5 linked regions of the Danio rerio genome follow. The protein of the gene in region 2 purifies or fractionates together with the protein of the main gene of each other region. This does not show direct contact. Links are inferred from orthologs where the notes say so. Each region holds a gene or a part of one and is shown on either strand. Other genes may lie near its edges.

The links.
Region 1: the proteins of sart3 (region 2) and mepceb purify together in Homo sapiens (affinity purification with mass spectrometry; 6 studies listed by BioGRID and IntAct, counting the BioPlex papers as one, with this or other methods). This does not show direct contact. The link is inferred for Danio rerio from reciprocal best matches to the Homo sapiens genes SART3 and MEPCE.
Region 3: the proteins of sart3 (region 2) and lsm6 purify together in Homo sapiens (affinity purification with mass spectrometry; 4 studies listed by BioGRID and IntAct, counting the BioPlex papers as one, with this or other methods). This does not show direct contact. The link is inferred for Danio rerio from reciprocal best matches to the Homo sapiens genes SART3 and LSM6.
Region 4: the proteins of sart3 (region 2) and smx5 purify together in Homo sapiens (affinity purification with mass spectrometry; 3 studies listed by BioGRID and IntAct, counting the BioPlex papers as one, with this or other methods). This does not show direct contact. The link is inferred for Danio rerio from reciprocal best matches to the Homo sapiens genes SART3 and LSM2.
Region 5: the proteins of sart3 (region 2) and lsm8 purify together in Homo sapiens (affinity purification with mass spectrometry; 4 studies listed by BioGRID and IntAct, counting the BioPlex papers as one, with this or other methods). This does not show direct contact. The link is inferred for Danio rerio from reciprocal best matches to the Homo sapiens genes SART3 and LSM8.

Annotation. Positions count from the first base shown.
Region 1 is NC_133198.1:47,985,207-47,990,214, forward strand, and holds the start of mepceb (7SK snRNA methylphosphate capping enzyme-like), read left to right. Parts: upstream 1-1,586; 5' UTR 1,587-2,076; intron 2,077-2,152; 5' UTR 2,153-2,162; coding exon 2,163-3,653; intron 3,654-5,008. UniProt on the Homo sapiens protein: S-adenosyl-L-methionine-dependent methyltransferase that adds a methylphosphate cap at the 5'-end of 7SK snRNA (7SK RNA), leading to stabilize it.
Region 2 is NC_133180.1:21,199,149-21,203,451, reverse strand, and holds part of sart3 (squamous cell carcinoma antigen recognized by T-cells 3), read right to left. Parts: intron 3,702-4,303; coding exon 3,589-3,701; intron 3,509-3,588; coding exon 3,432-3,508; intron 3,253-3,431; coding exon 3,084-3,252; intron 1,351-3,083; coding exon 884-1,350; intron 1-883. UniProt on the Homo sapiens protein: U6 snRNP-binding protein that functions as a recycling factor of the splicing machinery. Promotes the initial reassembly of U4 and U6 snRNPs following their ejection from the spliceosome during its maturation.
Region 3 is NC_133176.1:39,343,860-39,348,962, reverse strand, and holds the start of lsm6 (U6 snRNA-associated Sm-like protein LSm6), read right to left. Parts: upstream 3,009-5,103; 5' UTR 2,915-3,008; exon of another isoform or gene 2,692-2,914; coding exon of another isoform or gene 2,667-2,691; intron 2,567-2,666; coding exon of another isoform or gene 2,562-2,566; coding exon 2,468-2,561; intron 1-2,467. UniProt on the Homo sapiens protein: Plays a role in pre-mRNA splicing as component of the U4/U6-U5 tri-snRNP complex that is involved in spliceosome assembly, and as component of the precatalytic spliceosome (spliceosome B complex).
Region 4 is NC_133181.1:30,702,396-30,707,271, reverse strand, and holds smx5 (smx5), read right to left. Parts: upstream 3,363-4,876; 5' UTR 3,287-3,362; coding exon 3,284-3,286; intron 2,868-3,283; coding exon 2,800-2,867; intron 2,688-2,799; coding exon 2,657-2,687; intron 2,565-2,656; coding exon 2,505-2,564; intron 1,643-2,504; coding exon 1,517-1,642; 3' UTR 582-1,516; downstream 1-581. UniProt on the Homo sapiens protein: Plays a role in pre-mRNA splicing as component of the U4/U6-U5 tri-snRNP complex that is involved in spliceosome assembly, and as component of the precatalytic spliceosome (spliceosome B complex).
Region 5 is NC_133179.1:10,099,149-10,104,043, reverse strand, and holds lsm8 (LSM8 homolog, U6 small nuclear RNA associated), read right to left. Parts: upstream 3,082-4,895; 5' UTR 2,922-3,081; coding exon 2,891-2,921; intron 1,401-2,890; coding exon 1,360-1,400; intron 1,028-1,359; coding exon 900-1,027; intron 785-899; coding exon 694-784; 3' UTR 519-693; downstream 1-518. UniProt on the Homo sapiens protein: Plays a role in pre-mRNA splicing as component of the U4/U6-U5 tri-snRNP complex that is involved in spliceosome assembly, and as component of the precatalytic spliceosome (spliceosome B complex).

The sequences.
Region 1 (5,008 bases), on a different chromosome or scaffold from region 2:
AATTCTGACCCGATCATCTGAATGTGGCAGCAGAAATGGAGACTTATCAGAGCAGCAACGTTTCTCCAATCTTCTATTGTCCAGTTTTGGTGAGTCTGTGTGAATTGTAGCCTCAGTTTCCTGTTCTTAGCTGACAGGAGCGGCACCCGGTGTGCTCTTCTGCTGCTGTAGCCCATCCGCCTCAAGGTTGGTCGTGTTGTGTGTTCAGAGATGCTCTTCTGCAGAGCTCGGTTGTAACGAGTGCTTATTTGAGTTACTGTTGCCTTTCTATCAGCTGGAACCAGTCTGGCCATTCTCCTCTGGCATCAACAAGGCATTGTTGGCACATGCTGCCTTGTGATTGGCTGATTAGAAATTTGCGTTAACGAGCAGTTGGACAGGTGTACCTAATAAAGTGGCCGGTGAGTGTATATGTAGGGGAGAAGTCAAAAATACATTGAATTAGTCAAAATTATTTTTTATTCTATGCCAAAAATCATTAGTATAAGTGATCATCATCATACATCGAGACGTTTTATACATGTCTATATTGTAAATATATCAAAACTCATTTTTTGAATAGTAAAATACATTGCTAAGACCCTAATTTGGACAACTTTAAAGGTGATTTTCTCAGTGTATAATACCATTATCTACCTTCAAATTTCAGAATAGTCATTTTAATTTATTCATATGTTATCAAAAATAGTTCATTTTGGCATTAAAAAAGACATACCTAGGGGAATGCTTATTTATTCAGCTTATTTTTCTAAAACTCAACACTTATGACTTGTTTTGTGTTCCAGGGTCACATATATGACACTCTTATTGTAATATATTTCTATACCTTTAGTTAGCTATCTCTTCTTCTCTCTTGTCTGTAAATAAGCTAAATGTGTGTAATTTAGGCCATTTACACCAGTCCTGCCAAACAAAAATAATGATTTAATAATGCATACACTGAATCCACTGACTCAAGTGGGTTTTCTTTCACAATAATCAAAATAATGAATCATATTATGCTGTTATTTTCTTGTTTTTGGCAACAGGTTCAGATCAAAAGGACTACATCTCCCAGAAGTCTCCTCCTCCTGCAGCAGAGTGGGAGGGTCTCTTTAAAACTCGCAGAGGCGCTAATTCCATACGATATAAAATGCTAATATGACATAAGTCATGTTTTATTAGTTATCCGATCATTAGTCGTTGTTATAAGCGTAAATTCAGCGCGGAAGAACTCTCACAGGGGTTGTTTACACATGTGACGACTGCCTGTTTCGAGTTCCCGAACGTTCTCCAAAGCAGAATTATGGGATTCTGCTCAAACACATACTCTTGTTAAATAAACAAATGCATTTTGTCGTCAATTTGTTATATTTTACTGATTTTGACGATAATATTTAGTGTCTAACGGGTCAATTCAGGCAGTCCGCTGGATACCTATTAAAAGAGGAGGGGCGGTGACTGCGAGCACATGCCTTCATTTAAAGCTCCGCCATTGGTTGTTCGAGGGGCCTTAACGTATATCGCGCTTTCTGATTGGCAGACGCGACTGTCCGTCAGGCTTGGTCTGTGGTGGAATATATAAGCGCGCTGGTCTGCTGTGCCACAGGGCGAGATGGAGCACTGCGAGTTCAAGCGCTCATGAACATTCGACAGATCAAAGTCTATTTTTAATCAGCACCATTTTAGCAAAGTGTTTTTCATATCTGCAGTAGCGCGAGTCAAGTGCAGCTGTGTGTTTACGTAGCTCTAATGAGCGCGGGTCTGTGTACATAGTGTGTCGTGTGCGCTGTTTTTGTTTGATTTTTGGCGTTCGTGTTTACTCTCAGCGCGAGAGAGCCGGAGAAAATATCTCGCTCAGTACTGTGTGTGTGTGTCTGTGTTAACGGACGTGTGCGTTTGTGTCGGAAAGGGGGGGAGCTTTCGAGAGTCGCGTTTCCGTTGCATTATTCATGAGCGTCGCGGTAGCCCCGCCCATAGGCGGAGTTAGTTAAATTAACGCGCCGTGGAGCTGTTAGATGAGCCAAATGTAACACGTGGGTCACAAGCACATCAGTGCCCATAAAACAATACAGAAAGCAGGCTCAGAGTAGTCAAGTAAGTACTCATCTGCAAGCGTCACACATTTATATCTTGTATATTGTACTTGAATGGTGTGTTTCTGTGTTTCCAGCGGCTGATGGATGTCTACTGTGATGTCAGTGCAAAGTGAGCTTCCTATTGCTGGTGGGGCAGCAGGTTTACTGGCCCACCCGCCGTCCCCACTGCAGACCATTAAAGATGAGGTGACCGCTAACATTGTGCTAACCGAACTCGCAGCCAATCACGTGACCCCACAGGATGGGGTTACCGCCGAGGGGCCCTTTCAGATTAAAAATGGCCTACAAACTCGAACTGAAGTGCAGACGCAGAAACTGGCGCAGAAGCGGCGCTACAGTATGAACGTGGCGTTCAAACATCCGAGTCTCGGTAAGCGAAGACGCCGCGCCAATTCTGAATGCGATCCTGTGCTTCCTACTAACTTCCTGCTGGGCGGGAATATATTTGATCCGTTAAACCTCAACAGCCTATTGGACGAGGAGGTCAGTAAAGCGCTTAATGCCGAAACGCCCAAATCATCGCCACTCCCCTCTAAAAACCGAGACCCGGTGGAGATTCTCATCCCGAAAGATATTACAGACCCGCTGAATTTAAGCGGCAGGGGCGGAGATTCGGCTGCCGGTGTGTTGGTTTCTCCAATGAAGATCAGACGCAGACACCGCAACCGCCATCATCCTGGAGCGACCACAGGCGTTGCCGACCAATCAGATTGTGAGAAGTCAAAAACCAATGAAACGACATTATTTCCTGTAGCTAATCCTGAAGAGGCTGCGAACAGTGCCGTTCTTCCGCCTGTCGAGGAGTCGCCGCGTCCGTATGAGCTCAACACCTCGATTAATTGCCGCGATGAAGTGGTGCAACCTATTCTGCCACGGCGTAAGTCACACCCCTCTGCGTCTAGCTCCGCCCCTCAATTACTCTCTAGGTCCGCCTCTGCGCCCCATCCGTCCAAACATCGGAAGCGCAGACGAACTGTCAGTCGCTCGGACTCTCGCCTGTCAATCACACCAACTCCGCCCACCAAGCGGCTAATCACACACACTCAAACCTTTCACACTCCAGTTATAGGCGGAGCCAGCGGAGCTCCTCCCTTGGGGGCGGAGCGAAGCCATGAACAGCAGCGCAGGCCGCGGCGCAAATACCATAATGGAGCCTACAGCCGTTACTATGGCTACCGCACACCATCGATGACCGACGACCCACGATTGGCTCTTTTTAATCCCGAATGGTTCTCTGGAAAAAAAGTTCTAGATGTGGGCTGTAACACGGGTCATGTGACCCTTGCCATCGCCAAACACTGCAGCCCCGCCCACATCCTGGGCTTGGACATTGATGGCGCGCTGGTGCAAGCCGCCCGCCAGAACCTGCGCCATTTCCTGTCGGAGCTGCAGGACAGGCAGCAGGCGGGAGCAGGTGAGGGGTCAGAGGTCACGGGGCTGGTGCCGCTGATGGACCTGCAGCTGGTGTTACCCAGGTTTCCTGTCTCCTTCATGCGCTGCCGCGGACCCATCGCCGCTCCTCCCATAATGCATCAGTCTCCAGGCCAGTTCCCCAGCAACGTCTGCTTCCTGAAGGTACACTAACATAGCTGAAGCAGCAGATCTTCCTGACGTGTGTGTGTGTGTGTGTGTGTGTGTGTGTGTGTGTGTGTGTGTGTGTGTGTGTGTGTGTGTGTGTGTGTGTGTGTTATTGGATGTATAATTAATGTTTGGATTTTGCACACACAAACATCTGTCTGTATTTCTATATATGGAATCTATCTATCTATCTATCTATCTATCTATCTATCTATCTATCTATCTATCTATTCATCCATTCATCTATCTATCTATCTATCTATCTATCTATCTATCTATCTATCTATCTATCTATCTATCTATTCATCCATTCATCTATTTATCTATCTATTCATCCATTCATCTATTTATCTATCTATCCATCCATCCATTCATCTATCTATCTATCTATCTATTCATCTATCTATCTATTCATCCATTTATCTATCTATCTATCTATCTATCTATCTATCTATCTATCTATCTATCTATCTATCTATCTATCTATCTATCTATTCATCCATTCATCTATTTATCTATCTATCCATCCATCCATTCATCTATCTATCTATTCATCTATCTATCTATTCATCCATTCATCTATCTATCTATTCATCTATCTATCTATTCATCCATTCATCTATCTATCTATCTATCTATCTATCTATCTATCTAACTCTATTCATCTATCTATCTATCTATCTATCTATCTATCTATCTATCTATTCATCCATTCATCTATCTATCTATCTATCTATCTATCTATCTATCTATCTATCTATCTATCTATCTATCTATCTATCTATCTATCTCTCTCTATTCATCCATTCATCTATTTATCCATTCATCTATCTATCTATCTATCTATCTATCTATCTATCTATCTATCTATTCATCCATTCATCTATCTATCCATCCATCCATCCATCCATATCTGTCCGTCCGTCCGTCCGTCTTGTCTGCCCATCCATCCATCCATCCGTCTATCTATCATAGTTCTATCTGTCTGTCTATTTATCTATATTTCTATCTGCATCCATCAACCCATCAACCCATCTGTCTATATCATGAACATATATAAAATAACATATACACCTCTTTTTTTACAAAATATTGGAAAAATATCAGTTTACAAATTCATTTGCAATTATTAGAAATGTACTTATGCACATAAGATCAAAATATTTCCTAGAATTTTTTTACATGCCCTATATTATTATTATTTGGCCACATATTACATTTCTGGATGGACTCGAAAACAGACTATTAAGCGTCAGTGCGGACAATTGGACAGTTAATTGCATAATTGCAATTATTTCTTAGAGAAAAGATTTGTTCCTGACCATTTTAGTCATATCACACATTAAAGTGAA
Region 2 (4,303 bases):
CTTACAATATATTAGCCTAGGGGATCTCTCAAGTAATTTATTAGTACGACCCTTATATATTGCAGGGTGTCTGCAGGACTCACCAATTCAAATTTAAGACTAAGACCATTATGAATAGATTTTTAGACTTTAACAGAACTAAACACTAACAGAGAGGGGGAAAACTAATTTGATTCTTTCTTGGCCGCATATGAATGAATGTAACTACTTAAGTTTTATTGAGATGAATTGTTGGTGATTTAGATGATGCACTGTTCAATAAGCGTTCTCGCTCAGCAGTGGAGATTTCCTACTGTTATATCTCTTAAGTTGTTTAACATGCGGTGACACGCAGTCAAATATTTAGTCGAATAGATCAGCAACTTTTGACGCTTCTAAACAATCATAAAGCCCTCGTGCTGAAGGAATTATGAGGTTTGCTGAAGGTGCAGCTGTCGTGCAGTGAGGGGTTTGCTTCTTTAATAACCTGCGACAGTTTGTGTTCATTGAACAGTAAGAATGAATAATCAATCCATATGTAACAGTCCCTTAAAAGTCATGTCTCGCTTTCAGTTTCGGCCTCAGGCCCGTTTTACACTCACACACAAGCGTACCGCAGCAAAGCCCAAGTGAACAATGCCTGAGCCCGATTCAGAACACTCACACTTCTCAAGCGATCCAGGAAACGGGCCTGGGCATGGATCGGATAGCATAGTGCGAGTACGCCCTTAGTTTGATGTTTTTAAGTGCCTATTATTATTACTGAGCATAGTACTTGGCGAATTGAATATTTCTGATTCTCCAACCAATAAGCTTGCCATTTAACTATAATAGCTTGTTTTCGTGCATCTTAATTGCAGCTGTGACTTACTTTCCCATAAAATACTCTAGTATACTTTCTCACCTTGAAGTCAGGATTCTTATTCTTGTCCACACAAGGAGACACATACATGGGCCGCCCGTCCACTTCCTGCCTGTCCATTTTCAGTGCTTCAGGTACAGCCAGTCGGTCTTCAAACTGCACGTAGCAATAGCCTCTAAATGTACCTTTTGCTGTAAACACAGGTCGCACCTGCTGTATGGTCCCACAACCCTGAAACAATGTTCGCAGCTTGCCTTCAGGGTCCTCCATATTAAAGGTCAAGTTACTAACAAACACACAGTTTTCATCTTTGCGCTGCTCCTTTGGCATGTCGTGGGGTTGTCGCTGTGGTTCAGGCGCTCCCTGCTGGTTCTTTCGAAAACCAGGTGGCTCAGTTTTACGCGCTGGTGGAGCTCGGCGGCCGAAAAGTCCACTTTCTGTCTCCATGAGCTCCTCCGTGACCGTGCTGTCAAAGTCGTCCTCTCCTCTGAGCCTCTTGGACGGCAGCTCTGCACACATTTTGATATGTTAGTACAGGTGAAATGTACTTTTGATTAAAAAAGGACTTCCGTTTCTTGGATGTGTTTTTTTTTTTTACAAAATAATTATGTGATATACAATGGAAAAGTCTGCTGCGTTGTTCATACTTGGATCTTAAGGTATAAAACTTCTGTCCTTTCTTTCAAAGTATATTCAGCCAAAACTCACAATCATTAAGGGACCAAAAAGAAATTCACATGGGAAATACAACCATAAATAAGAATTTCCTCATTTACTAAAACAAAAGTGGTTTCATAGATTTTTATGATATTTCTTTCTAGAGGTAACTGTGCTGTGCAGTTTAGGCACACAACATTTGACATCAGGCTGCTCAGTAAGAGCCATTCAATTCTAGAATCCTCTTTCATTTGAATTAAGAGGTATTGCAAACTACAACATTTAAAAATGGGCTAAAGAAATAGGAAAAGTGAATCAAGTGTGTAATCGTGCAATTTTTTGGGTTCTTTTTTTACAATAATGTAATTCATTTCTAATAGTTTTTTGTATGTAACTTTAATAACATTTGATGTGTATTAAGCTATTTTTGATTTTAGGTTTATTATATAAATAAGTCCTTTGGTTAATTCTGGCTTATTTACAGTTCTTACTGTTGATCAATGAGTACTGTCATTATAAAATACATGACTTATTATTATTATTATTTTAAATAGTTTGAAAGTCAGTGGCTGTTTTTTTCAGCTATCTTCAGCATATCTTCTTTTGTGTTCAACAGATGAAAGAAACTCAAACAGGTTAGGAATAAGTACATGATGAGTTAATGATGGCATAATTTTGATTGATTCTGTCTCTCCCTTTAAGTAATATAAAATATTTCAATACATTAGTAGTCATTTGAAACATGTTTTTTCTTTTGATACATGCAATATTGCATATTTACTCCATTAGATTAAAAAAAAAACTAAACTGTGCTCTTAAAATAACTAAAAATTTAGAGACCTAACAACTCAAAATATTTTGTCCCCACAATAGCAATGATGTGCATATTACCTCAATATAATACAGTTGAAATCAGAATTATTAACCCCCCTTTAACTTTTTTTTTTCTTTTTTAACCATTTCACAAATTATGTTTGTTTTTAATGCAGTTTTTAAAAGCATTTTAAGTTCAATATTATTAGCCCCTTTAAGCTATATTGTTTTCCGACAGTCTACAGAACAAACCATTATTATACAATAACTTGCCTAATTACCCTAACCTGCCTGGTTAACCTAATTAACCTAGTTAAGCCTTTAAATGTAACTTTAAGCTGTATAGAAGTGTCTTGAAAAATATCTAGTCAAATATTATTTACTGTCATCATGGCAAAGATAAACAAAATCAGTCTTTAGAAATGAGTTATTAAAACTTTTGTTTAGAAATGTGTTGAAAAAAATCCTCTCTCTCTGTTAAACAGAAATTGGGAGGAAAAATAAACAGGGAGGCTAATAATTCTGACTTCAACTGTATATAAATTTAAATACACTGCCTACTTTTAAGTGAACAAATTGAGTGTCCATACTTCAAAAGACACTCAGCACAAGTGTAACACTGACATATCCGTCAAATGTGTTTACATTGAGAAACAATAGAAAATCAGCACATTGGAAAGGAAAACGAGTTCTGTATGAACTGCCCCTTATTCTTATGCTTCTGAAATGACATGAAGATGTTAAACTCTCACTAAAAGCTCTTGATTTATACCTGCTTCTTCTCCCCATTCCTCCTCATCGTCATCTTCAGCTTTCCGTTTATCCCCTGTTCTGTTTGCTTTCTGGCCTTTCTTCTGGGCTTTTTTATCTGCCTTCACTTTTCTCCTTTGCTCTGCCTTCTCCTCCTCTTGTCTGGCGTGAAGAGCCTCTTTTTCTGCCACCTGCAAAAAAACAGCATCCAGTCACCCGTAAAACCATAGCTAAATAGCATTAAAGTAAGCTTTCTGCAAGACGTATTTTAAACGTAAAAAGAATATCTGATGCTTGATGCCACAATAGGAAACTGAAGTACTTCTGTTATTTTCAATAAAAAAAATATACAAGTCAATTTGGGACTTACTCGTGCTCTCTGCTCACAGACTCTATTAAGTTTGGTCTCTGTTTTTTGGACTGCAGCATCCCAGTCTTCCAGAGAGCCTGTGTCAAACAACACCAACATCAACACCCAAAGCTGGACACAAACAACAATCTATATATTAAGCTTTCAATAAGCTGACCTTCCACTCTTTCAAAGTTGAGCAGGACATCACACACGTGCTCAGGGTAGTCTGATGTACACTGTACTGCTCTGTGAAGAGCCTTCCTGCAGTGAGCAGCATCTCCATAAGACCTGACCCACAAACAAAACACAGAGTCAGAATGGCAGCCTTTCACCAGTCGGTTCAAGATCACATGACATTAAAATAACCTCAGCTCTCACTTACTGTGGAAAAAACAAATGCTCGGATTTAGCAAGTTATTACCTTTTAATTAAATATAAAAAATTGAATATTTTTTCTTTTTCTGCTGATATAACCAAGGTGCGCAGTCAGGGAAAAATTTATATTAACCAATATTATTGCACAGAACCCCCTTCTGATCCAATCAAATCATAAAGCAAGAACATTATCCCCACAATACTTATTAAACATTCTGTTGCACCAGGAAATATATGAAACCTTTGAAGCCAATAGTCAATAGAAAACACTGTTTCATGCTATCTTTATTGTCAAAAGAAAACATGAGAAATCTTTAGGTATTTTTGCTGTACTGAAGTGGCTCTCACACTTTTTACTTACAAAAACAATGTTCTGTACCAAAAAACAGACAAATTAAGAGAACTGATGAGGTTTAATTATTGATTTCTATTTGAAACTTTACATGAAAATTACGTTGTTTTTAATATCTCGACAATACAAAATATCAAACTTTTAGGTCATCATAACTCCCTTG
Region 3 (5,103 bases), on a different chromosome or scaffold from region 2:
CTGTTTATATTTTATAATAAAAGTAGAAGTATAGTAATTAAGAATAGTTGTTGTTAATTTTTACATAGATTTGATTTCATATTTTAAACGTCAACCAATATTAATTTCCTTTTTAGTTGATGCAAACTCCACTCTTGCTTTAACAAGTGGAAATAAAACACTGGGGAAAAAAATCAAAGGGTCTTTAATATTGATTTAGACAATAAAATGCATGGAAATCAAAAAGTTTGATAACAAATATCCAAGTGTAAGAAAATGGTGGCAATACTAAAGGAAGGTTTCAGACTAAAAGCCTTAGATCAAGAGCAGGATACAGCAACTGAGGTAAAGTTGGTTTTATATTCGCACATTTATTTAACGACAACTTGCGACACGCTCCCTATATTGTTTCCCACGGTACTTTGAATATTTGATTTGAAATCATAAGTAAGTTTGACATGAAAACAACATAGTACTATCTATTTGACTGTGAACAATGTTGTACTTTTATAGTCATTTGCTGATATGATTTTACTATTTAGAATTTTCAAAGAATACTTTTCTAAAATTATATTATTAAGAAAAAAAGTGAGAATATGTGAATACAGGGCTCAACAATAAGGACTGCCCAATGGCCCGGGGCTAGTGTGCGAGATGCTAGGGACATTAAACAGGACCGTTACTGGCCTAATCAGGTCTTAAAATTAAGAAACTGTTATTTCAAGCCTTTAAATACTACCTTCTCAGTGAAGTTGTAAACACCATATTGCTTTTCGCTTCCTCTTATGTGATTGGATGATGTGAGCATGTTATTTTTTTCTAAAACTTGGTAAAAACCAGTACAGCAAAGAGGCGGCAACTTCAAATTATTAAGCTAAAAGAAAACGTCTGTTTCTAATGTCTTGGGTACAACATGACGAAAAAAATGTGATGTTCTGCACAGTTTGCCGCAAGTTTGGCAAGTCAGCCACATTTTGTTAAATAATTTTAAAGTGCAATAAAATACCTGCACATTTTCTATTATTTTTTTGTTTGTTTGTTTGTCTGCATTACACTATAAATTTTGCTTATTTTAGATTTATTAGCATTAAATGCTACATTCGCAGATGTTATTTTTGACAGAACATTTAAAATATGTGGCTAGGATATTTTTTATTACAGCTTTTCTCAGTCGCTTTTGTGCGTTTCTCACAAAACTAGTGCATTTCTGCACAACAGTTAATGCATTTCTCAAAACAATTAGTTTAAACTGCAAAACCTAGATGATAAACTGCAAAAATGCGTCACATGCTCAAAATGGATAGTTCATTCCTCAAAAGCAAGTATTGATGTTAATCAAAGTGCCAGTATCATCAAAATGAAAAGTCCTGACACCATTGTTTATGAACAAGATAGTCACATGGCTTTGTCCTGTTTTCATGATGACAGTTTACTCTGTACATTTTTTCAATGCAAAAAAAGTCAGATTTTGTTGACACTTCCTGAAAATGCTCAAGACAACACTGCATACTATTTGCACAGCCATTTGAAAACTACAGTAAAGTTAGACATCACTGCATTTAGTGAGGAATCGGAGTACAACAAACTGAATATGTATGTTTCACATTTTAACTGTATATACTCTTTGCAATTCTAATTTATTCACACCATTGTGCAAAAGAATACATACACCCTTATTTACAACAAACAAACTCCCTTTGGGTAGAGTTGTGCACAACTGTACACAATATTGCAAAACATATAGGAACTGAAACTAAAATACACACAAGTCTATAAATCAATCATGAAATTGTTCAATTTTTTAGACATTATCAGGAAAATAAAGATTTAATTTTTTTTATAAAATATTGCTTAACAGATTTTGACAACTAGTTCAACATTTTTGTATGTAATGACTCAAGTAATGAAATGAAAACTATTTGTTTTATATGGAATGACTACTCAGAATTCACAAGTTTAGTTGACATAAGCAGATGATAATGTTATAAATATCAGAGAGTTGTATGAAAGTAATTGATGCATGTCCAAAAGCATCTGCAATGTGTTGGAAGGAATGAGAAACTGCTAATAGGATGTGCACAAATGACTAATTATTTTGAGAAATGCATTAACTGTTGTGCAAATGTAAATAGTGCTGTGAGAAATGCACCAAAGCCACTGAGAAAAACTGTAACTTGTTATATTTGGTCAGACCAGTGAAAAGTTTCGGGCCAGTAAAAAAAAAATCTTTAGCGTTGAATCCTGGAATATAAAACTTACTTTACCTGACACAACTTTATCCATATTTAACTTGCATGTGGCAGTGAACTTGTAATAAATTACAATAAGGAAATTATGTTGTTTTCTTCAAGATTGACTTCCAAACCATCCTATTTTATTACCTCCAACACAACAAATATGATCAGTCCCTTCATGCATACCCTCGATAACTTGTAAATGATAAATGTAAAATACAAACATAAAAACAACCGCATATTTCAGTTTGTACCTCTGTAATCGACACCAGAGTTCAGTTTCACCACCACTGGCCTCCCAATGATCTGCTTCAGGAAATCACTTGGTGTCTGCTTTCGGAGACTCATTTTAGCTGAAAATGAATGACAATGAAGTTTATGAATAGCTCTTATAAAAATGAACCATGGCTGCATTGTTAACAAAAAGGATGTGACAATAACAACAAAACGTACTAAAGACGTTTATTTTAAACCACATAAGGGGTTTCCAGAAGAGGTTTAACCTTATTTGTTTGGAAATTGCCGGTGAACGTTATCGATAAGCGGCTAATTTAGCATGCTAGCATTCCAACCCAACGTATCACTTAATAAACGTGTCATCGTATATCTAGCAAGGTAACTACAGTGCTGCAGTTTTTTAAAACCCCACTAACGTCGAATGCATTCTTATATTAAAGCATACAACATTTAACGTTATTTACCTATGTCGTTTAGCAACGTTAACCGCACGTTTCGACTGAGCGACTGCTGACCAATGAGCTCGTCCGCTTATTCTAGTTCCATGGTGTGTACACCATTCAGCCAACCAGATGCTTCGTTAGAAAGCCAGTGTACGGAAGCCGACAAGATAGCGTTATCTCCTTTGACAAAGAATGCGTAGTGGAAAAAAGAGCCAGATCGACGGTGGCAGTAAAGACGGGGAATCGTCGCTTTTGCTACATTAGGACATAAAATCGTTAGACAAACAGAAGAATGACAGATGAGCTGATAAAAATGGACGAACAAACAGACGTATAGAAACCTAGACTGACAGACAGACAGACAGACAGACAGACAGACAGACAGACAGACAGACAGACAGACAGACAGACAGATAGATAGATAGATAGATAGATAGATAGATAGATAGATAGATAGATAGATAGATAGTCTGTCTGTTTGTCAAAGTATTTTGTGTACATTGTGTATAATAAGCAACTTCAGGTTGTAGTTGAGGTGTGGCTAAAACATGTAGGAAAAAAGAAGATCCTGTATAGCCAAAAGAGAGAGAGGGAGATGGGGAAGAAAAAGCTGTCTTTTGTTCACAGGCAGAGGAGGGGATGCACCTGAGAGACAGAATCATAAAGCACTTCTGGCGCATCCAGACAGTTTGCTTGTTAGCAGGGCATTGGTAGCCCTGAGGAGGCTAGAGGTTAATTTGGTATCTGGTGCTGTGTTAAACTAAGGTCAGCGCTACAAGTCCTTAAGTCATAAACAAGTGTGGTTAAGAGCCGTGTACACACCTAGGCACGAGTTAATGAATATTCAATGAGTATTTTTCCCCTTGTTGCCAGAGTTCACATCCTAAAGGAGGGTTAAGAGAGAAAAATGTGATCTAATGCATTTTCCTATCAAAGCAATCATTCATTTAAGGAAAAAAAGGAAAGAAATTGAACGAGTTTACAGATTTTTCGGTTGTGGCACACAGCACCGGGATTTTCAGTTGTAAACAAATATGGAATATCATGACAAGGAAGCTGACACAAGCACTATGATGCTTTCTTGACTACTGGAAAAGCGTGAATGGCTTGGCTTGTTAAGCGATACTGAATAAAACACAATAGAGCTCTACAGACACAGAAAGCATTTCACAAGCTTTTTATCTTTCAGTTTTGCCTGTTGCTTGGTAGAAGATGATTCTGTCCGTCTCACATAAAGAGGGCATTTTAACCTTAATGTGCTGTCCTTCAAAAAGTTTTCAACTTAACATTTTGTAGACTGATGTGAATGTGCATAAAATTTTGACTGGGAACAAATAAAAAAAGCATTTGCTTTTCCTCAGTCAGCACAGACAATCCACTCTCACCGCAAGCCTGTGAATAACCCCACAGCTCCTATGAAAACAGTAGCGTGTTGGTAATAACCGCCCAGTGATGCCAGATGGGACTGTTTTCACCCTGCCTTCAAGACGCTGGTGAGCTCAGATGGACAGTGGCACAGTTGATTTGCTGGTACAACCCGCCTCACCTTTCTAAGCCCCCAAAGACCTGAGAGGGAGTGGAGGAAAAATGAAAAGATTACAGAGGCAGCTTCACTAGGGTTGGGGGTGGGTCAGGCTGAGGGGTGTCAGATGCGAGGGGAGGGGGCTCCGTCGGTTGCCGCAGGCTGCTTCGAGGAAAGGAGAGTCTAGACTAGGCTGACCTTTGCGAGCCAGGGCTTTCTCTACGGGTCAAGTTGGATATGGAGGGGGGATAATGGAAAAACCTCAAGGGAGTTTTCGAATGAAATCCAGATTGGCTGCCGGCATGTAGTTTTTCTCCTCCCCTTCCCGCTCCCTAATCCCTGCACTGCATGGGGGTAATAGTGTGGAAATGATGGGGGGAGTGTCGCCTTGATCAAAAATGAGCAGTGGAACCTAGTCACCCCATTCTAACACCCAGATTCATGCCCACTATATATATAAATATATCTGCGCATGCAACCACTGCAGGCCAGGTTATCCAATGCGATTCCAGGCACCGGCTGCAGCCTCTAGACCTTTGTCAAATACCTTGCTGAAATGATTTAGGAGAGCTGCCGCATATTCGCATTCTTATATAAGGTTCTTGAAATGAGCTGAAGCCAATGTATGAGATTTAGGAATTTGTTAGATGTATTTGCTTTGACATATTTGACATTGGTTCAGTCTTAT
Region 4 (4,876 bases), on a different chromosome or scaffold from region 2:
CATTTTTTTATTGGTAGCTAATTAGCGAATGCTTAAAAGGGTACTCTAAACTACTATAATAAAATTAATTAGAAGCTGTTAAAATATATTGTGACTGAAAAAAATCCTGTGAATGTTACTTAAACTTTTTAGAATGCAACTTTAAAGTGAACTGTGCTATAAACAAATTAAGAAATATATTCGTGTTTTTTTTTTCCTTAATATTTTTCGCCGCACACCCTGTGGTACTTTTAGGGATTTAAAATTACTAAATGTAAGGCAAGGTGTATCCTACTGAAGAAAAATGAATAAATTATCAAAATTGAAAATCATGGCTTGTCACGGTTTAAAGTACTATGCAAAATGACACTCAAAAAATCTTTACTACTATATAAAAAAATAAAATAGTAACCCTCCCTAATATGAATATTTAATAAATTACATACATTGTAAAAACGACAACAAATGTTTTCATTACTTTCCTTTTTTAAGTTAATCAGTTTAACTTAACATATTTGTCATTTGACTTATAGAAATGTAGATGACAATTTATTTTGAACTAAAACACCTAAACATATTTTTGTAGTGTGGTCTACATTCGCTTTGATAAAGCCATGATTACTTTATTAGCGCATAAAAGTGCCTAAAAAACACAAAACAAAGGCACTGGTATATTTTAGGAACAGTAACTACGAGTTTCTTTTACTCTAAACAACTTACTTTTTTGTTTGGGACTAGGCTGTAAACTACAGGTGTCAAATTCAGTTCCTGGGGGGGCTGCAGCTCTGCACTGTTTAGTTCAGTTTAAGTAAGCACAACCAGATTAAAGTAATTAAATCTTTCGGGCTTCTTTGAAACCCAACCCTGCTCCAATACACTTGGAACTGAACTGTGCAGGGCTGCAGCACTCCAGGAATTGAGTTTGACACCTCTGCTAAACTATCCATTCACCTTAACCCAAGGGTGTCCAAACTCAATCTTGGAGGGCCGGTGTCCTGGAGATTTTAGCTCCAACCTGCCTCAACACATCTGCAATTATGTTTTTAGTAAGAGCTTGATTAGCTAGCCCTGGTGTGTCTGATTGGGTATGGAACTAAACTTTGCAGGACACCAGCCCTACAGGACCGAGTTTGGACATGCCTGCCTAAACCAAAACACCAGCATTCCACGAACATAATTTGTAAAATGCTGTCAGCTGAACTCCAACAATGGACGATTTTTTCCACCAAAAGGAAAGTGTGAAAACAGAGGAAAATACTTTATTTTTGCATCAATGTGTGAACCTAACTAAAAGTCATTGGTATGCAGTACAGAACTTTACCAACACTCATTAAAAGCACACAACCACTAACTTGTGAAGTAAAAAAAAAAAAACAGTAAATCACACCCTCAATAACAGGCTTCACATGACGTAAAAATGAAAGAGAAAAAAAAAACTTTACATGTTTTAGGTAAGAAAAACATTTAAATCAACAAAACTCCACAGATGATGCTTCTGAACATTGGAACAAAACCAAACTATTCTCAAATATAAACATTATTGTTTCTGTTGTGTAGCTTCTTTGCGTGCAGCATCCTGTAGTAGCTGTGTGTCCACTTCATCTGCAGGAAGCTGAACGTATCGCACCACTGATCCACGAATGAAGCAGTTCTTCACAGACAACTACAACAAAACAATATTAGAGTCATCTATATACACCAAAGTTCTCCTTGTTGAGCACCTACATCACTATGACAATTCATAAATCACAGACTTAATAACCTGATCTACATTAATTTAGGAATCAATTCAATTATCAGGGTTCCCTCTTTAACCCTTTAGCTGCCTGCTCTATCAAATGGTTGACCGTATTTTCACCGTTTTAAATAATGGTTTTCACTACACAGCATTGTTGGTTTACAAAAAAAAATCCTGTTGCAATTCTACACTTGCTTTCTAGTTAGTTTTTTTGACAATAAAACCAAAGCAATGTTATATGAGAATCTGAAAATATTTTATTGCATATTTCAAAAAATAAAGATGACTTAGTATTCAAAAAAAAATTTTATTTTGAATATTCTTTAAAATAAATTGGTCCTACACTTGCTATTTTCAGATTTTTCATAGTATTAATTTCTGTACTTTTACCATAAACCAATATATCAACCATGACATGAACATAACAGGCTTCTGTAGTGCTTATAAAAAATTGTAATATTAAATTAAAAATATATTGAAATGGTTTTAGCCATTTTATTACATTCATTTAATAGCCACTATGAGAACAACAAATGATAATTTACTTAATATAAAAAAAAAATACTTGCGGTTTGCATGGCTGTAAATATCAAATATATTTTAATAAAGAAAAGCTAAAATGTAAAGTAACAAACAAAAAATCCCTGTTATTCCATGAATCTGACAAAAATATATCAACATTTCCTAAATTTCAATGTCTGAAATGAACCTTTTAAAATTCCATGACATTGATAAAGATATTAGACCCAAGATTATGAGTGTAATTTTCATTTCATCCATTTCTCACCATGTGCGGATATTTCTCTGGATCAGTAACACTGATATCTGTCAGTTTGATGTTCAGGTACTGTGAGGGAAGAACAAATGACAAGATTAACTTAATCCTAAATCGCCCAATATTTGTTTATATTAATAAACGTGTGGAGTCAGTTTCCGTACCTGATCAACTGAATGTAATGTTCCACATATGCTGCAAAATAGATGTGTTCATAGTTTTACGAGCTGGCACATACATTATAAAATATGTATATTCAATTTCTAATTATATATATAATATTTGTAAAAGAAAGGTGAGCACTCACCTCAAGTCATTCTTGAGCTCCACCACAACATCTTTGCCAACCAAAGACTTGAAAAACGAGTAGAAGAGCTGAGAATAAACATTTGAAGGAATTACTCTCAAAATATGAGGCGGACAGCAAATAAGACATCGATAAAACGATTGAATCAAGTTTTATCAACAGACCAAATGAGAAATGTCAACAGCAAATAACACTGCTTTCTAAATTACGCAGGCAAATGAAATACCAAGACTTTAATATAATAGGAGTCAGCCAGAGTTGTTTCTGTTGGGCATTTAATTAAGGGGATAATCCTTGCTTGAGAATGTTGTTTTATTTGGCTATGAAGAAAGCTAGCGTTAGCTGTTAGCATGAAGCATTGTTTGTCTTTCTCGCGAACACAGTGGTCAAAAAAACCTAAATATGTTAAACAAATGGTCGTAGCACGTTTATTAATTCCTTAAACGTAAATTACTGTATGATATTGCTAAATAACAACACTTACCATTTTCACGCGGCTTTGTGCTTTAGATCACATACGTCATCAAAAAGCTGCCGGGTCTTTCACTCTGTGCTTCTATTGGCTAGAAGAATGAAGACGTAAAAATCCCATTGGTCGCGAAATTGTTGGCGTTTTGTTCTGTTTTTGCGTCATTTGTACTCATCTCAGTAAATTATTCCGCAATCGTTCATCACACAAAAGAGATTAAAAGGCGCATGTTCAATGGATGTGAAATATTTTCTTAAAACAGTCAACTTTATGCCCGAAGAGGTACATGACATGTCTGACACAGAGCTTGCTGATACACGTACATGGCTCCTCTTTTCTGGCAATTCCCTCTTTCGTCAGCAGATGGAGACAAATAATAATAAAGCACAGTCCAGGGCTCAGGTTAATCCTCTGCGTTATCCCCATTTATAAAACAAAAAAGCAGTCCACTTACAAAACGCTATATTGTAAAACAAAACAAAACCTCCACGACATGCTAATGATTATAATGTTTTTCACGATTATGTATTTATGTGCATCCAAAAAATGTAAATTCAGCCAATTTAATCAATTTACTTGTTTAAAACCATCTTGATCTTTCCATATTTTGAAGAACGTTGGGAACCTGTAACCATTGACTTTAATAGTATGACAAACAAATACTATGAATGTCAGTGCTTACAAGTTTTCAACATTTCTGAAAATAAAAATGGATTTTGGATTCTCTATAATTTAAAGATAAATGTTCCTAAACATATAGAGCCTTCTTATAACATTATGCTTTAATATGCATTCTCCTGTTTTTAAAAGCAAGCATTCTGAAAATTACCTAGAATGAATATAAGCAGGGATGGGCAGTATTTATGATAGGGTTGATGGAAATGGCTTAATGTTTTGTATTAAAAATACATTAATGTCTTTTATTTTTGTAGTTTAAAATATTGTAAAATACTTTGATGCTAAATGTTTGTCACTGAAACAAACAACATAACAATAAGTCCTACAATAAGTCCTACAAAAGGGACTAAGCCGAAAAGACAATGAATGAATAAATGAGTGGCGATTCCGATGCTGTTTCAAATGCCAGTAGTTGATCTGCAGATGCACTGTACTGTTAATGAAAAAGAAAGATGTACTGTATGCCTAAACATGTAAAAGTGACAACATGAGAAACGCACATTTAATAATTAAAAACTTCTGACAGGTTATACAGAAGGAACATGATATAATATATGAAAAGTTTATTTGCAAAAAAAGATAATTTTTTGAAAGTTTCAGAAATCATGTTTTTACACTGAGTATTAAAGAATCAGTTTAATGGTGAAGGGACTGATCAAATGGGCTTATTAATGAAAGGTTTGCCAACAAATATCATGTTCCTATTTAAAAATATTTTGTAGAATTTTTTAAAATACAAAAATACTGTATTTTATTTTGATACATTTTGTGGCTGAGGTATTTTGTAGTTTATTTTGATATACTTAAACTTATGGTTTTTGGTATTTTATTTTAAAATATATTTAAATGTTTTTGCCCAACCCTGATGATAAGCATTTAAAAACAACACATAAACACACAGACACAGGCTGCATCCGAAACCGCCTACTA
Region 5 (4,895 bases), on a different chromosome or scaffold from region 2:
AAATATTCATTCCTCTGAATGTGAACAGAAATTTATATAATCTTTTATATTATTTATTATATATATATATATATATATATATATATATATATGTGTGTGTGTGTGTGTGTTTATTTTTAAATACATGATTATGTTATAATACAATATTGCACATTATTATATACAATTACTACATTTAAATAACTGTTACAAATTATTTATAATAATATACACTTATATTAATGTCTTTTTTCGTCATTTTTACGATACTGCAATGAGCTTTTCTTTGTGGGAAATAAGCTAAATCGTCATGAATGCAATAAAACAAAATGGGCTTTAAATGCTTTTCAATTTCTTCATGTAATACGGAAATTTCTTTTGACTTTTGGGTGATAAAATAGGCATTTTGGAGATGGACCTAATCTTACTTTTACTGTTAATTTATTACTTTTTTTGTTTTTGACTGAGAATTATCCAGAAAATGGATACTTACCAATATTTTCCCCTTTATACAAGTTTTTAAAAAATTTAAAATCTTGATTTATCACTTTTTGTTTTATTATTTCAACACCCGTAAAAAACAAAACAAACAAAAAACAAATATGCATTCAGTCTTTTTCAAGATTAAAAAAGCAGGTAATATTGCTGCTTATAGATGCCTGCAGATTTCCTAGGGAAAGTTTTCAACTGGATCAAAATGAAATTTTCTGTCCATCAATGCACCACAGAATTGAGTGGTTCTGCTCTTATGTTTCCAAGATCCAGCGCAGAATCGGTTTCTTCATCAATCTCACCGATCACAGCCCTTAAACACAAAATAATTTCCCATTTATGTCAACCAAATAAAAGAAAAAAATCATAAACCTTGCACTGTTCTGCACAACATAAACATAATTACAAGAAAGGAGTTTAATACTCACACATTATCTCCTCTGACAATATACAGTCCCAGAACCACCTGCTCGACCCCCTGTGAAGAGCTGAAGACCCGCTCGTGGCTTTCATCCAGGATGAGGTTGATTGCCTGATCAAAGCCTTTTAGCGTCCCCTAAAAACAGCACAAGTCAGTAAGCGATCTTCTTCATTTCTGCACACAGACAATGATTAATTGGTAAGTTCACCAAAAAACACAGATTTTAATATTAATTTATTCACACTCAGGCTATTCACAATCTAGGGGACTTTTCTCCTCAGTTAAACATAAAAGACATTTAAACAAAACAAAAATACAAATGAAAAATATGTGTCGGAGCTGTGAGTTACAAGTGATAATGTTTAGATTTTCCTAATACAGTCAAACACTCCCAAAGTGTCTTTGACTTGCACTTTATTAAACACAAAGGTGGATAACTCCCTTTAAAGTACACGAGGAAGACTCACCACGATCATTCTGCCATCCGAAGTGACAATAGCAACAGTCCCTTGAAAAAAATCACAGTCAAGGAAATTTCAAGCTCATTTTATGTATGCATGGTCACTCACTGCGTTTATTTGTTCTCTGGATTTGTGTTTATATAGTACACATAATGTGTGTTCAAAATCTCTATTAAGTATTTTATTCATTGACTGATTCATATTCTCTATCTATCTATCTATCTATCTATCTATCTATCTATCTATCTATCTATCTATCTATCTATCTATCTATCTATCTATCTATCTATCTACATGAATACAAATGGTCATGGTCAAGAAATTAAAACTTTTCTAGATTGTTTTACATATATAGATTATATTTATATACAGATTAACATGAATACGAACAATCAAATATACTTATTTTTTACGAAATATTTAAGAAATGAAAATGTTTCTAGATTGTTTTACATTTCTAAATTATATTTATTTATAGATTAACATGAATAAAAACAGTCAAATATGCTTACTTTTAACCAAAAATTAAGAAAAGTTTTCTAGATTGTTTTACATATATGTATTTTATCTATAGATTAACAAATTCAAACAGTCAAATAAACTTATTTTTACCGCAATTTTAAGAAATTAAAACGTTTCTAGGTTGTTTTACATAGATTATATTTATATATAGATTAACATAAATACAAAGGGTCATATATAATTACTTTTAACTAAAATTGAACAAATGAAAACTTTTTTTAGATTGTTGGATTGCATCTATATGTAGACTAACATAAATGCAAATGGTCAAATATACTTAATTTTATGCAAAATTTAAGAAATAAAAACTTTTCTACATTGTTTTACATATATGGATTACATCTATAAATAGATTAACATAAATAAAAATAATCAAATATACTTATTTTTACGAAATATTTCAGAAATTAAAACCTTTGTAGATTGTTTTGCATTTATAAATTAGATTATATGTATTTATAGATTAACATGAATGCAAACGGTCAAATATACTTATATCCAAAATGTAAATTTTTTTTTTTACTTTTCTAGATTGTTTTACATACATAAATTATATCTATATAGATTAACATGAATACAAACAGTCAAATATACTTATTTCTACCCGATATGCAAGATGTGAACACATTAATATGTAATATTTACAGTAAATAGTAATATTCCAGTTATATGATATGTCTTAATTAAATATTTGAAGACTCGTTTTCATTGGTCCAGAAAAAAAAACTCAAATATTTGACAAAAAACAGGCATCTATGAAGTTAATATCACATCCAGATAACCGATAATCATCTTGAACTGATCTATTTTGCTCAAGAAATGTATGTGCGTACATTAATATGCTATAACGTGAATTATAACGACGTATGATCATCAAAAGCTAATTCACTTGCTGGCGCGCCATATATATAAAGTTAGACATTTCACGCTCAAACACACACAATCAACAACAAAACACGGGGTATCGATCAACAACATCACCGCCGTGCTGTTCACGATGCGTATTAAAGGATACGGTGAATGTAACTCTCGAGAGCGGTGGACATCTTTTCTGCTGGTGCGTGTTTTTAAATCCTCCGGTGCTCGTTCGCTAGCTCCTACAACGAAAAGCATTCGTTCTTGAGCCGGAAGCGATAACGGAGAGACTCGAGTAGGCGATGACCGATTGAGCACAACTTCAGGCAGAACTAATGGAGTTGGAGCAACGAAAGCTGTCATGAGTGAATTAGTATTTATTTAATAAGCTTTAAATAACTAGTACGCGACAATAGAACACACATTTTAATGCCAGGGATGATAGAAGATAAATATAGTAAGAGTACAAATAATTAAACATTAATTAAGAAGCAAAACAAACACACGTACATAAAAATAAGCGTATAAATAATTAAATAGATTTCTTACAATTACACACGTTTACATCAATCAAAACTGTTAAAAATAGACCACAAATGGACAGTGCTAATGAAGTTAATTTTATAGTTTAAACAAATTAATGTGAAGTTTAGCCGTCGTGAGGGAGTGATGCGGTATTTGTCCAGCAGATGACGCGCTCTGGAGATTTCTGGTTTCTAAGGAAGAGAGCACAATACTGTTTCTAACGAGTAACTTTAGAGATTATAATCAGTTCTTGCTGAAAAGGCTAACTGTTTGAGGGTCAAAGTGGGGGTCGATGGAAACACTGGTGGTAATGATGACGACGGCACTTACACAAAAGTACAATCAATGGTTGTGGGATGATTTCAGACGCTAATTGTAATTGTACATCGCCATTATGGGAATTAATGCTGATTGAACTATATAAAAGTGCTGTAGTGGTTAAAAATAGTTGTTATACGGTGTTTTGCTACACACTAGCATGGAAAAAATAATTAAAACTTGTTAATATTCGTAAGGTACTGAATGTTTAATAAATTTGATGGAATTGTATGGTGGTTCTGGAATTACGTTGCTATTACATCAGAATCAGGGACTGACCTAACCAATGATGTAATGTAATGTGTATTTATATTATAGATCTTACACCAAAAGCGGTTCACAATCATGAGGGGGGTCTCTCCACACCACCACCAGTGTGCAGCATCACTTGATGATGCGACGGCAGCCACAGGACCACAGTGCCAGTGCGGACACCACACACCAGGTATTGGTGGAGAGACAGTGATAGAGCCAATTCGGTGGATGGGGATGATTGGGAGGCCAGGCCATGATGGGTAAGGGCCAATGGAGGGAATATGGCCAGGACACTAGGGTTACACCCCTACTCTTTACGAGAAGTGCCATGGGATTTTTATTGACCACAGAGAATCAAGACCTGGGTTTAACTTCTCATCTGAAAGATGAAGCAAGCAACCGCTTAGGACCCCAAGAAATTTGGGGGCCCTCAATAATTGCCCACACTGTAAAACGTTTCACATTGGTTAAACTTACAAACTCAAGTTCAGCAGCTGCCTTGAAAATGTGAGGCAACAACTTAGAGAGATTCTTTGTTTCAATGTAAGATGTTGAGTTTTAGTTAAATATATTGTAAAACTCAACATCTTAAGAATCTCTCCAAGTTGAGTTGACTCACATTTTCAAGGCAGCTGCTGAACTTGAGTTTGTAAGTTTAACCAAGTGAAACGTTTTTACAGAAGCGTAAATCATATTTTGAATGGTGATGGTGTAATAAATGAGATTTTAACGTAATTATACCATCTACACAGATTTGTTTTACACACCTAATCATAGAGCAGTCCACCAGTCAAGATAAAGATTCAGTTTCAGAAACAATTTATTATTTTTTATTTATTATTTTTGTTGTTGTTGTGAATTCATTTTAAGAAAACAAATCATTTAAAATATAGCAGGGATGCGCAAACATTTTCTTATGGAGGGCTAAAAGCCAAACTTGATTGAGGATGGTGGGCCGAGGGTAAATGTAGAAAACTTTATTCTAATAAAGTTGCCATTGGTGATTTCCTTCTTTAATATAAAAATAACTGAAACATAAAATTTTCATTTAATATAAAAAAATAACT